Callithrix jacchus: one gene and its partners. The protein of the gene in region 3 binds, or shares a complex with, the protein of the main gene of each other region. Links are inferred from orthologs where the notes say so. Each region holds a gene or a part of one and is shown on either strand. Other genes may lie near its edges.

Evidence for each region. The genes of interacting proteins can lie anywhere in the genome.
Region 1: PPIL2 (region 3) and EFTUD2 share a complex: the UniProt entries of both Homo sapiens proteins name them as parts of the minor spliceosome. The link is inferred for Callithrix jacchus from reciprocal best matches to the Homo sapiens genes PPIL2 and EFTUD2.
Region 2: PPIL2 (region 3) and CRIPT share a complex: the UniProt entries of both Homo sapiens proteins name them as parts of the minor spliceosome. The link is inferred for Callithrix jacchus from reciprocal best matches to the Homo sapiens genes PPIL2 and CRIPT.

Annotation. Positions count from the first base shown.
Region 1 is NC_133506.1:85,306,939-85,310,926, reverse strand, and holds the start of EFTUD2 (116 kDa U5 small nuclear ribonucleoprotein component), read left to right. Parts: upstream 1-1,172; 5' UTR 1,173-1,247; intron 1,248-3,988. UniProt on the Homo sapiens protein: Required for pre-mRNA splicing as component of the spliceosome, including pre-catalytic, catalytic and post-catalytic spliceosomal complexes. Component of the U5 snRNP and the U4/U6-U5 tri-snRNP complex, a building block of the spliceosome.
Region 2 is NC_133515.1:68,132,452-68,136,649, reverse strand, and holds the start of CRIPT (cysteine-rich PDZ-binding protein), read left to right. Parts: upstream 1-1,382; 5' UTR 1,383-1,481; coding exon 1,482-1,497; intron 1,498-2,918; coding exon 2,919-2,984; intron 2,985-3,737; coding exon 3,738-3,792; intron 3,793-4,198. Other genes in the region: PIGF (GPI ethanolamine phosphate transferase, stabilizing subunit), read right to left, coding at 1-26, 727-981. UniProt on the Homo sapiens protein: As a component of the minor spliceosome, involved in the splicing of U12-type introns in pre-mRNAs. Involved in the cytoskeletal anchoring of DLG4 in excitatory synapses.
Region 3 is NC_133502.1:193,648,658-193,652,218, reverse strand, and holds part of PPIL2 (RING-type E3 ubiquitin-protein ligase PPIL2), read right to left. Parts: intron 1,344-3,561; coding exon 1,252-1,343; exon of another isoform or gene 232-1,251; intron 226-231; coding exon 136-225; intron 1-135. UniProt on the Homo sapiens protein: Has a ubiquitin-protein ligase activity acting as an E3 ubiquitin protein ligase or as an ubiquitin-ubiquitin ligase promoting elongation of ubiquitin chains on substrates.

The DNA.
Region 1 (3,988 bases), on a different chromosome or scaffold from region 3:
AGGGGACCTCACACAAAAGCAGAACTCTTGTTAGTTACCCTGGAGCTGAGGATAACGTTTCATTCTCATTAAATCTCCTTAATGGGGAAGGAGACTTTCACCCAAACCAAATGCAATGACTGAGCAGGAAATCAAGTAGAAGGAGCAGAGGAAGGAGCTCAATGACCCAATCCCCAAATCCCTTTGTCCAGCCCAGGGCTCACTGTGTTGCCCAGGATAAAGTGCAGTGGCACGATCTCGGCTCACTGCAACCTCTGCCTCCCGGGTTCACGCAATTTTCGTGCTTCAGCCTAGGACTGGGACTACTAGCTGGGACTACAGGCATGCGCCACCACGCCCGGTCAATTTTTGTATTTTTAGTAGAGACGGGGTTTCACCATGTTGCCCAGGTTGGCCTCGAACTCCTGACCTCAAGTGATCTGCGCGGTTCAGCCTCCCAAAGTGCTGAAATTACAGGCGTGAGCCACCGCGCCCGGCCTGCAGAGAGATTCTCTACGTGGGTTCTAGTCAGGGTTCTGACATTTACTTGTGGGACCTCTCTGAACTGCAGATTCCTGGTGAGTTGAGCTAGATTTTGTGGCAGTCATCACGAACAGTTCCAGCGCAAGGAAGCAGGAGGTCCTCAACTAATCCCATAGCCACCCTACCCCAAAGTGAGGAATCTGAACGCCAAGAAGGGGCTGGGCTGGTCAGTAACCGAACTCAGGTGTCCAGTTCTCAACCCTTCCCAGACATTTAATAAGTAAAACTAACCCTTCCGCCCCCTTACTCAGCCTCCCGGACCTTCACCCCAACAGCCCCGGCCTTGGTCGCCCTGCTTTGTTTGGGGATTCCCTGATAAGCCAGAACAGTAGAGCAGCCCAGCACAGACCACGCCCCGCAGCTGTGGCTGCCCAGCAACTTCTCTAACAGCCTAACCACGTGATCTGCCTGAAGGCCCCCCCTTTCCGGGTGGTCCCGAGGCGCCTGATCAGATTCGTGTGTCCTCAGTTCTCACCCTCTTTAAAGCAGCCCACGTCTTAGGCTTCTCGTCTTGGGGACCCTCTGCTCCGCTGTGCCAATTCTTGTCTGCGCGGCAGGCATACCTCGAAACTGGTCCTCAGGCAGAGGGTTGTCCTCCCGGGCAGAAAGGCGACCGCGGCGTCTTCGGGGTCCTTTCTGGCGGCGGGCGCAGACGTTTCCTTGGCGTGGGGCGGAAGCGCGGTCTTCGGCGGCGGCCTAGGAACTCTCAGCTGAGCAGGCGGGAGGTAGGTTGAAGCAGATCTGCGGTACGGAAGGGTTGCTCCAGGTGGGACAGGAATTAAAGAGCGTCAGATCTGGAAGAGGCCTTATATACTGTCTGCCCCTTTCGCTTTACGGATGGGTAAATTGAGGCCTGGAGCGGGAAAAAGAATGGAAGACCCTCTCCTCCGCGTGTCTCCCCCAGGCTTCCGAAGCGCACACACCTCGATTCTGGGGATACCTCTATAGCCTCCGTCCGTAAAATCGCATCCCTAGGAAGGAGCGGTGCTCTAACTGTCCAGTCCCCTCGCTCACTCCCTCTTCCATTTGTGCCGCCTTCAGCCCTTCTATGCCAGGTTCCCTCCGACGTTCCCTTTGAGCTCCTGTATCGGAGCGGGAAGCCGCAGTGAGGTTTGTTTCCATGAGTCGCTAGTTTTGTGTAACTAGCTTGGCTTATTCCATGAACAGCTTTCTACAAAAATGTCTTCAATCGGCCAGGCACGGTGGCTCACGGCTGTAATCCCGGCACTTTGGAGGCCGATGCAGGCAGATAACCTGAGGTCAGGAGTTCGAGACCAGCCTGACCAAAACGGTGAAACACCCCCCCCCCTACTAAAAATACAAAAAAAATTAGTCGGGTGTAGTGAGTGGTGCACGCCTGTAGTCGCAGCTACTCTGGAGGCTGAGGCAGGAGAATCGCTTGAATCCAGAAGGCAGAGGTTGCAGTAAACCGAGATAGTGCCATTGTACTTCAGCCTGGGCAACGAGAAGGAAACTCTGTCTCAATCAATCAATCAATCAATCAATAACTAACTAACTAATTAACTAACTAACTTTCTTCAGTTACTTGATTGGGGTCTTGGGAGAATGAGATAAGCATAAATGCAACAGTAGCTTTTTGGAAGTAAAAAGAATCACTATATAGGTGAAAGTTTCCATAATAATTTACATTTAATTATTGGTCCTTAGAGCTTTAATTATCTATCTACATTGAGCACCCAGCAGGTGGCATTGAGGGAGATGGAGGTATCAGTCTAATGCAAGAAATATCAGCATCTTAAATTTTTCTTTTTTAAAATTTAGAGATGCGGTCTCCATGTTGGCCAGACTGGTCTCAAACCCCTGACTTCAGGGGATCTGCCCACCTTGGCCTCCCAAAGTGCTGGGATCACAGGCGTGAGCCGCTGCGCCCGGCCCAGCATCTTAAAATTAAACATCCCATTCAGTTAACATTTATCCAGTTCCTACTTACACAAGGTGCCGTCTTGGCCATTGGCTGTATTAACATTGGTACTTTTTGCTCAACTATTTAAAAATGTAAAATGCGGCCAGGTGTGGTGGCTCACACCTGTAATCCAAGCTCTTTGAGAGTCCAAGGCAGACGGATCACCTGAGGTCAGGAGTTCAAGACCAGCCTGGCCAACATAGTGAAATCCCGTCTCTACTAAAAACAAAAATTAGCCAAGTGTGGTGGCACACACCTGTAATCCCAGCTACTTGGGAGGCTGAGGCAGGAGAATTGCTTGAACTTGGGAAGTGAAGGTTGCAGTGAGCTGAGATCATGCCACTGCACTCCAGCCTGGGCAACAGAGTGAGACTCTGTCTCAAAAAAATAAAAAAGTAAAATGCATTCTTAGCTGCAAAAACAGGTGGAGGGGCCAGATTTGGCCACAGGTCAGAGTTTGCCAACTCTTGCACTAAAGTATTAGGAGGTGAAAAGGCATTGTGTCAGCAGCTTACTGTCAAATCATTTGGGAAAAAGAAAGCTATTTGTACTGTTCTTGCCACCTTTTGGTATTATTTTAATAAAATTAAATTTAGTATCATAAAAGAAGTGAAGGGAAGAAGTGGGTACATGGAACACAGGGCTCTAATGTTCAAGAATGACAAAAAATGGTGCTAGCTAACGTTTGTTGAGTCTGGGACTCTGCCACATTCTTTACACAGTGTGATTTATTTAATTCTCAACCATTTATGCAGTGAGGATTGTTCATTCTATTTTCCAGTTGAGGGATCATGTTCGGAGAGATGCACTAATTTACCTGAAGTCACGTAGTTTTTAGTGACAAAGTTGGGATTTGAATCTTAAGTCTTCTGACTCCAGATCCCTAATGCTCTAGTCTGTTATTTATTGCTTGTAAACTATAGTTGGTGATGGTAATTAGTACAGTCACCTACTATTTAAGACAAAATTAAATACTGATAAAAGTGGAAAAGGTTCTACAGGATAGGGGAATGAGAAATTGAAGAGCTAGGAAAGCTTGAAGGAGGTGGCATTTGAACTGTTTCTTTTTGTTGTTGTTGTTTTGAGACGGAGTTTCACTATTGTTACCCAGACTGGAGTGCAGTGGCATGATCTCGGCTCACCGCAACCTCTGCCTCCTGGGTTCAAGCAATTCTCCTGCCTCAGCCTCCCGAGTAGCTGGGACTATAGGCGCACACCACCATGCCCAGCTAATTTTTGTATTTTTAGTAGAGACAGGGTTTCACCTTATTGACCAGGATGGTCTCGATCTCTTGACCTCGTGATCCACCCGCCTTGGCCTCCCAAAGTGCTGGGATTATAGGCGTGAGCCACAGTGCCTGGCTGAACTGTTTCTTTGAATAGAATTTTAATACTTGAGGTTGAGAAAACCCACAAAACTCTACTTAATTACAAAGGGAAAATGAGTAACTTTACAATGGCGCACCTGGTAAACATTACCTTAATGAAGTGATCAAAGTTACCATTACCACTAATGGGGCAAATTGAAATCGTGTATCACCT
Region 2 (4,198 bases), on a different chromosome or scaffold from region 3:
TTCATGGTGTTTTCCTGGGTGGCTAGCTAATAAAAAACAAGAAGAGCATATGCAATAATGACTTTTTCCATTGTCCAAAATGTTTCAACCCCTACAAATAAGTCATAAAGTCAATTTCCTATGGGCAATGTATTTGTTTCAAAACACCTGGACCTTATAATAGGTGAAGGGGAGAAAGGCAGCAAATCACACTGCCACGTGTGTACCTATGCAACAATCTTGCATGTTCTTCACATGTACCCCAAAACCTAAAATGCAATTTAAAAAATTGCTCTCACTTAATTCACCCAATGCTTTTCAAAGGCAGATACTTTACTGATAAGGAAACACGACAAACAGGTAAGGAGGTCCAAGTTCTCAAGAGCTACAGCCCTCTCTCTGGTACAACGAAATAAAGGGATGGAGAAGGAAACGGATGGCAAGAAGGGACAAAGGGAAAGTTTCCTATAGATTCTATCTTAAGCTGATTGAGGGAGGGCAATCATCAGGAATCCATCCTCACAACAAACCCTTCATCCATTTTTCTGAGCCACCCTCGGAATCGCAGCTGCCAACAGGAGATGCTCCTACAATAAGCAGGAACCAAACTCAAATGTTTGCTGAACGAATGAAGGAACCAGAGTATGTAAAGTGGGAAACTAACTCTCCTGGGAAACCCACACCGTGTTAGGCCCTGGCGTGCCCCCAGGACACCTACAAGGGTGCCACGGGTATGACCTGGCCCACCTCGCTAGGCACCGCAGCAGAGAGACGGCGCTTCCGAGCGGCCCCCAGAGGAGCCCTCGCGGGCATCGCCGCACCTTCACTGGCAGCCCCACCCCAACCTGGGTCGCTCGGGATTCTGCCCGAGCCTAGGCCGGCGCGAGCGTCGACAGCCAGGAACCAGCAGAGAGGCAGGATCAAAGAGCACGGGAGTTGGAGACAAGGGAAAACTGGGGGACAGAGGCAGAAACTCGGATCCGAAAGGGGGGGTCTGTCCATCAGAGCACGCCGGAAGAGTGGCGCTCGAGCTGAGGGCGAGAGCGGGCGGGCCGGGACGCCAAGGCTCACGGCTGCTACGGCAGTTCGCGGGGGTGGCTTGCACCCCGGGGGGCGAGATCGCCGGGGGCGTACATTGGGGCTTACCTAACTCTCCCACCCGCGGAAGGGAAGCGGGGAACTACTGCCTCCTACCATCAGGTACGACGTGCTACCCAGGCCCACCCGCAAGCGCAGGGTTAAGGGGCGGAGATCCAGGGCCGCATAGCCAGTAGCAGAAAGAGAGGGGCGGGCAGATGGGGCAGCCCCGCCTAGACGCTCCCGTTCATTCCTCCCGCGGCCTTCCAAGTTTGGGCTAGACCGGAGCGGCGTGCTTAGAAGCCGGAAGTGGGTTGACGTAGCCCGGAAGGGGAAGCCGTCCGGGTTTTAGTTTTGATGTTTTCGGGCTGCTGTTGCTGCTGCTGCTGCTGCTGTTGCGGCTAGGGGAACCGTCGTGGGGAAGGATGGTCTGCGAAAAATGTGAGTTAAGGGGCTCCTCCTGCGGGAGGAAGAAACTGGGGGAACCTAAATGAACTCTCCCGGGAACTCTGCCTTCTCTTTTGTTTTTTCTTCGCCCACATCTTTGATTCTAGTCGCTGTCCTTCTGCTCTACCCTTTGACCATTTTTGCACCTCCCCAAAGACCATATAGTCCTATAGTATATTTTGTTTTCAGAATGGTCTTAGTTCTGCATCTCCTTGTCTATTTCCATTGCCTTCCCCCAGCTCCAGATCTCATCAGCTCCCCTCCCGTATAAAAATGTTCAGTTAAACCCCAATCACACCTTTCCCTCTTGCAATTCCTGACCTTTCCTTTTTATTCATGTAACACACTAGAACCAAAGACCAAGGACCTCGTCTTACTCATTCCTGTTAGTCATTATGCCAGAATATGGCTTAGAGTAAGCCCAGAAGATGTGTGAATTGAACATCAACGCAAGTGCAAGTTACTATTTCCCTAATTTAACACCTTTAATAAATTCTCAGTGTGCAGAGAACAATGTGGGGATTCTGTATTTGGAGCCTGACGTTCAGGACCCTCCGCAATAAGGCCCCAACTTATTTTTCCAGCTTCATCTTCACTGATCCTTACCCTCTTCACACTTTGACCAAACGTAACTACCCTTTGTGCCCATGTGTACTCGGAGCTTTCCATGCCTTTCCTCAGAATGTGTCCTTTATCAGTCTGCCTTTATCCTCTTTACTCCTTTTTGTTCACAGTCCTATTGCCACATATTCAAATCCTCTCTCTTGCCTTCTCCCCAAACTTTCTTGGATTTCCTTAGCCAGGGTTATATCTTCCTGCATGGAATTTCACCTAGTACTTTAGCTCTCAATTATTACACCGTTTAATTTTTAGCTTATATTTTGGTTGAATGATTCTCAGGTTCTCTCTGAGAATCTGAAGAAAGCTATAGACTCTTGCCAGGAAAGAAAAAAAAAAGATATATAAAAGGTTTGTGTACAATTCTGCCTTGTTCACATATCTCTTAAGATCGACCTGTGGAACATAGATTAAAGATTGCTGTTAAACTACTGTACTATAATCTCTTTAAAATTTTGTCTGATTCATCACTTATTTTTTTCAGTAATTTGTATAGTTTATACATCATAGATGCTTAGTAAATATGTATGGAACAAATAGACTTGCCAGATTTGTTTAAAGTATAAACAAACAGAGAAAGCTTATTATAAGCCATCTTATTATCCTACGGATTTTACTGTGGATCAGTCATTCATTGCCCACAGTTAATACAAGTCTCAGTTCACTGACTGCTCTCCCAGCATTAACAGGCTCCTGCAGTAATAGGACTGTTGATACCATTGTGAACCTTAGGCACAATGTGATGCACTTATGAAATACTAAATTTTAAATTGCTTTTTACTATCTTATTATAACAGGTGAAAAGAAACTTGGTACTGTTATCACTCCAGATACATGGAAAGATGGTGCTAGGAATACCACAGGTATTTCTTCTTTTAGAAAATAGGAATTTAACCAGAGACTCCTGTGAATATTTTATCTTTTACGTTATTTGTAAAATGAAATGTGTTCAAAGTATTTTGTCTATTAAACATGAAAGAATCCTGGGTCCCCAAGTTATTTAATATCTTCTACTTAGTTCTGTTACTTGTACAGGTTCCTAACATCAGGAGATAGCAAAATTATTAAATGATTGTCAAGTGGTGACAGTATCATAATATTTGATTTGATTCAGCTTATTTAGAGACTGCATTTAATTTCTCCGCTCTTCTGAGGAGAAATTTTTTTAAATCTGGTTTTTATATTCTTGAATAAATCCTTTAACCCATTTTACCTTCATTATCATTAATTACTTACAGTGAAGTATTTACCTTCATTATCATTAAATACATAAAGTATGTTTTCGAAGGGAAAGAAAAGAAACATAGACATTCAAGGTCTATGACACTGAAGTAGTGGGTTCTAGATTTTACAGTATATCAAGTAAATATAGACCCATTCCTAAGGTACTACCTTGAGTCTGAAAAATAAAATGATTGTATTTTATACAAATTTTTATTGTTTCTCTAATAAATGTTTTCTTTTTAAGCAGCGTCTTAATAACCTGACTGTTAAATGAAGATTTAAAAATTAGATATAGGCTACTAGTTTGGCAGAAAGTCAGAGAATGAACTTCTTAATGTTATATGTTAAATGTATAGAAGTAACCCTTTAAAATAACTTCTATTTTGATACAGAAAGTGGTGGAAGAAAGCTGAATGAAAATAAAGCTTTGACTTCAAAAAAAGCAAGGTGGGTAAGAGGATCCATAGAGAAGTCATATAATTTTCACTCTTTTAATGTTAAGCCTACTGGAGTGAATTTGATGTGCATCATTCCAATTGCAATAAAACATAGAGTTAGGTGGTTCCTGGCACTCAGAACCAAGCTATTTGTTATAACCTGCTGGTTTTACCTTATTCCTCCTTACTGTATGTCCCCCTCTGACTTCATATTGTACCATACTCCTCCTCATTCATCATATGCCATCCTCATTGGTTCTGCCAAGCCTCCCCCATCCAAAGAGATTTGTCCTTGCTGCTGTGTCCTCGAGGTCTTTACTGAGAGCTTACGTATCTGGCTCCTTGGTGTTTGGGTCTCAGCTGAAGGGTCTTTTCTCGGAGAGGTTTCCCTAATCAGCCTGTAAACTAATTTCTTC
Region 3 (3,561 bases):
GGTATGAGGGGCCCTGACATGGGGGTCGGGGATCAGGGAGATGTGAGAGCCAGGCTACGGAGGTGGCCCCTGCAGAGGCCTGGGCTGGCTGTGGACACTGAAGGCAGCTGGGGCAGGTGGGCAGGGGACACTCACCTGGAGGGTGATGATGTCCTGCCGGGAGAAGGGCTCATCGCTTAGCAGGTCCCGGAAGTTCTTGGCCTTGATATTTAGCTGTTCCACTGCCTACAGCCAGGAAGAAGTGGTGTTACGATGCATGCCCCAAGCCTTGGCACAGGAGCCTGCGAGCAGGGAGGCCCAGAACTGGCACCATGACACCATTTGAGAGGCGAGGAACGAGAGAGACAGCAGTGTTCACCCCACTGATTGAAAGCAGTGGCCCCCACAAAGGCGGAGCTGGCTGGGCATCAGACGATGTGCCAGTTCAGCCTTGCAGCAACCTTCCTGCAGGAAGCTCTTGTCTACATATTGATCAGCAAAGTGGCTGGGCGAGCCACCCACCCACTCGCTGAAGCCTTCACTGACTACTTCCCATGCACAGGCATGGTGCCAGGCCTGTGGGCAGGGGCTGTGCACATGAGATGCCTGCACTCCTGGGGCCCAGTATAGCAGAGTCCTCAATCCACTACGAGGACCAACCATGCCAGTCTATGTAGGCTTCTGGCAAGAAGTAGCCCCTAAGGTCCCTGGAGCAGCGCTGGCCACCTATACTCCACCAATGTCCTGGTGCAGGACTGAAAATGGCACAAAGGTCGGGGCTTTCCTGCCACATAGGGCCTGTCCCGCCTCACCCCTGAGAGGAGGACCCATGTGTGAACATGGCTGCCTCCTCTCTTCCTACACCCACTCCCAGACAGAACTCCTCCAGGGGACAGCTCCTTCCTGGACACAACTGGCTCCATCGAGAGCCAGGGCCAGCACTCCTCTCACACCGTTCTCAGAGCACGGTGCCTTCCCAGCACCTAGGTTTTGCTGAAGATGCAGAAGGACCCCCTGCGAGATAAGGGTCCCTGCTTGCCAGCCAGGACTGCCTGATTCCAAAGGATGCAGCTCCCCCAACCCTATTCTTGACCTGCCTGAAATCTGGGAGGCTGTCATGCCAGAGCTTTGGCAGAGGCCGGTGCCTGTGGCTGTGACTGTAAACCCCACAAAGACAGGCCATGCCCGCAGCACAGCCCAGCCCATGTATCCTGGGAACACACAGCAGAGATCTCCCCACCGTGGTCTCCAGGCCCTGGAGCAAGGACACACCTCGTAGGCGTAGACGTTGCCGGTCGTCCTCACAGCCACGATGTGGGTGTTGTTGGTGAACACGGTGAACAGCACTGGGCAGTGGTACTTCCCTAGAGAGAAGGCACACACGGGGAGGCCAGTCACCTCTGTGGGCACTTGGGGCCAGGACAAGTCAGGACAGAACGCGGCCAAAGTTAGCGATGGGAGGAGGTGGAACCCCGTCAACTGCCAGAGTAGGGAACCAAGGGGACAGCTGCTTAGCCCCTCAAGCCCCTCCATATCATTAGGAAACTCCTATTCATCCCGCAAGGCCCAGTCCCTGCAGCATCTTCCTCACATCCTCCAGCACACCTCTGCTGACCGCCATGCTAGTCTCCTCCTCTTCTTGAAGTTGGCCCTCAGCAAGAAACAACCCATGCTCCAGTCCTGACGGCTCCACCTCTTACCCGCATTCCCCGCCAACCCCCTGCTCAGATCTTCCTTCAGAACTGCCCATCCCCTTGCCCGGCTACTGTCTCTTTTTTTGTTTTGTTCAGTTTTGAGATGGAGTCTTGCTGTGTCACCTAGGTTAGAGTACAGTGGCGTGATCTCAGGTCACTGCAACCTTTGCCTCCGGGGTTTAAGTGATTCTCCTGCCTCAGACTCCCAAGTAGCTGGGACCACAGGCATGCATGCGTCACCACGTATGGCTAATTTTTGTATTTTTAGTAGAGACAGGGTTTCACCATGTTGGCCAGACTGGTCCGGAACTCCTGACCTCAAGCCATCTGCCTACCTTAGCCTCCCAAGCCTTGGTTACTGTCTCTCTGCCTGTTAAGTCCCCACTGGGTGGGGACTTGAGCCCTTAGGGAGACCTCATCTCTACAAAAATGAAAATAAAAAAAATTAGCTGGGGCGGGGCACAGTGGCTCATGCCTATAATGCCAGGGAAGGTATGTCTGTGCCCAGGCAGGAGTCTGCGGCAGGGGCTGGAGTCTGTGATGGGCACAGGGGAGGCACATCACACTTCCTCTCTCCACTTTCATCCACGAAGAATAATTCCAATTAACAAAGAAACAAAGCAGACTGGCCTGTAATCCCAGCATTTGGGAGGCTGAGGTGAGTTGATTGCTTGAACCCAGGAGTAAACTTGGCCAACAGTAAAACCCTGTCTCTACAAAAAACACAAAAATTAGCTGGGTGCAGTGGTGGTGCCTGTAGTCCCAGCTACTTGGGAGGCTGAGGTGGGAGGATTTCTTGAGCCAAGGAGGCAGAGATTGCAGTGGGCTGAGACTGTACCACTGCATTCCAGCTTGGGTGACCGAGTGAGACCCCATTTCAAAAAAAAAAAAAAAAAAAAAGGAAACAAAAGAAAAGAAGCTAATTGCCATGTCAAAGTTTAAAAAAAAAAAAGCCAGACCTCACCCCTCCCTCAGTGGCTCCCATCTTGGGCAGAAGCCCAAGTCCTCCTGTGGCTCCCAGGGCCCACAGGACTGCTCTGCACCTGTCCCTGCCCCAACCTGTCACCACATCCCCTGCTTTCATCATTAGCACATGCTGTACCAGACATACTGGACTCCTGGCTGGGCACAGACACCCTCAAGCATGTGCCCACCTCGGGGTCTTTGCACTGGCTGTGCCATCGGCCCAGCCCTGCGCTCCCCTGAGCCTCTCATGGCTCTCCCTCCCTGAAGTGTGTCAGGGCGGCCCTCTCCTTGCTGTGCTCTCCACACGGAAGCAGCCTCTGGCATACCCTGCTGAGCTGCTCTCTGGCGTTCTTCCCCACCAGAACACATGCTCCTCTCAGCAAAGACTCAGCCTGTTGTGCTCTCTGCACATGGCAGGCACTCAATAAATATTTGCTGAATGAGAGACATACACTGCTGATCACAGACAGGGAGGCAGCCCACCTTCGGCCACCAGGGTGCAGCTCCCTGTCCTCCACCTTTGTCAATGACATGCTGAAGTTCACTCACTCATTTACCTGCGAACGCAGCATCAGCTAGGAACCGGGCTCTAGGCTCAGACAAGTGGGGCAAAAGGGCCATGGCCTCACATGCTACAGCATCTCCCTGGAATGCATGCACCCAGTGAGCATGGACAACCCCTAAATCATGGGATCTGCAAGGGCAGAAGACCTGTGCTAGAACCTAGGACAAGGTCAGCACCTGGGCAGGGGTGAGCTGTGTACCTCATTTAAGAATCTGACCACAAGAGCAGCGCAACGTGTGTAAGGGACATGAAGCAGGAGCTGCTGAGCTGGGCTGGGCTGGGCTAGGCCCTATGAGCTGTAGTGAGGAAACGCCCAGCCTGAGAGCTACCCGACAAATCCCTCCAGACCACCACATT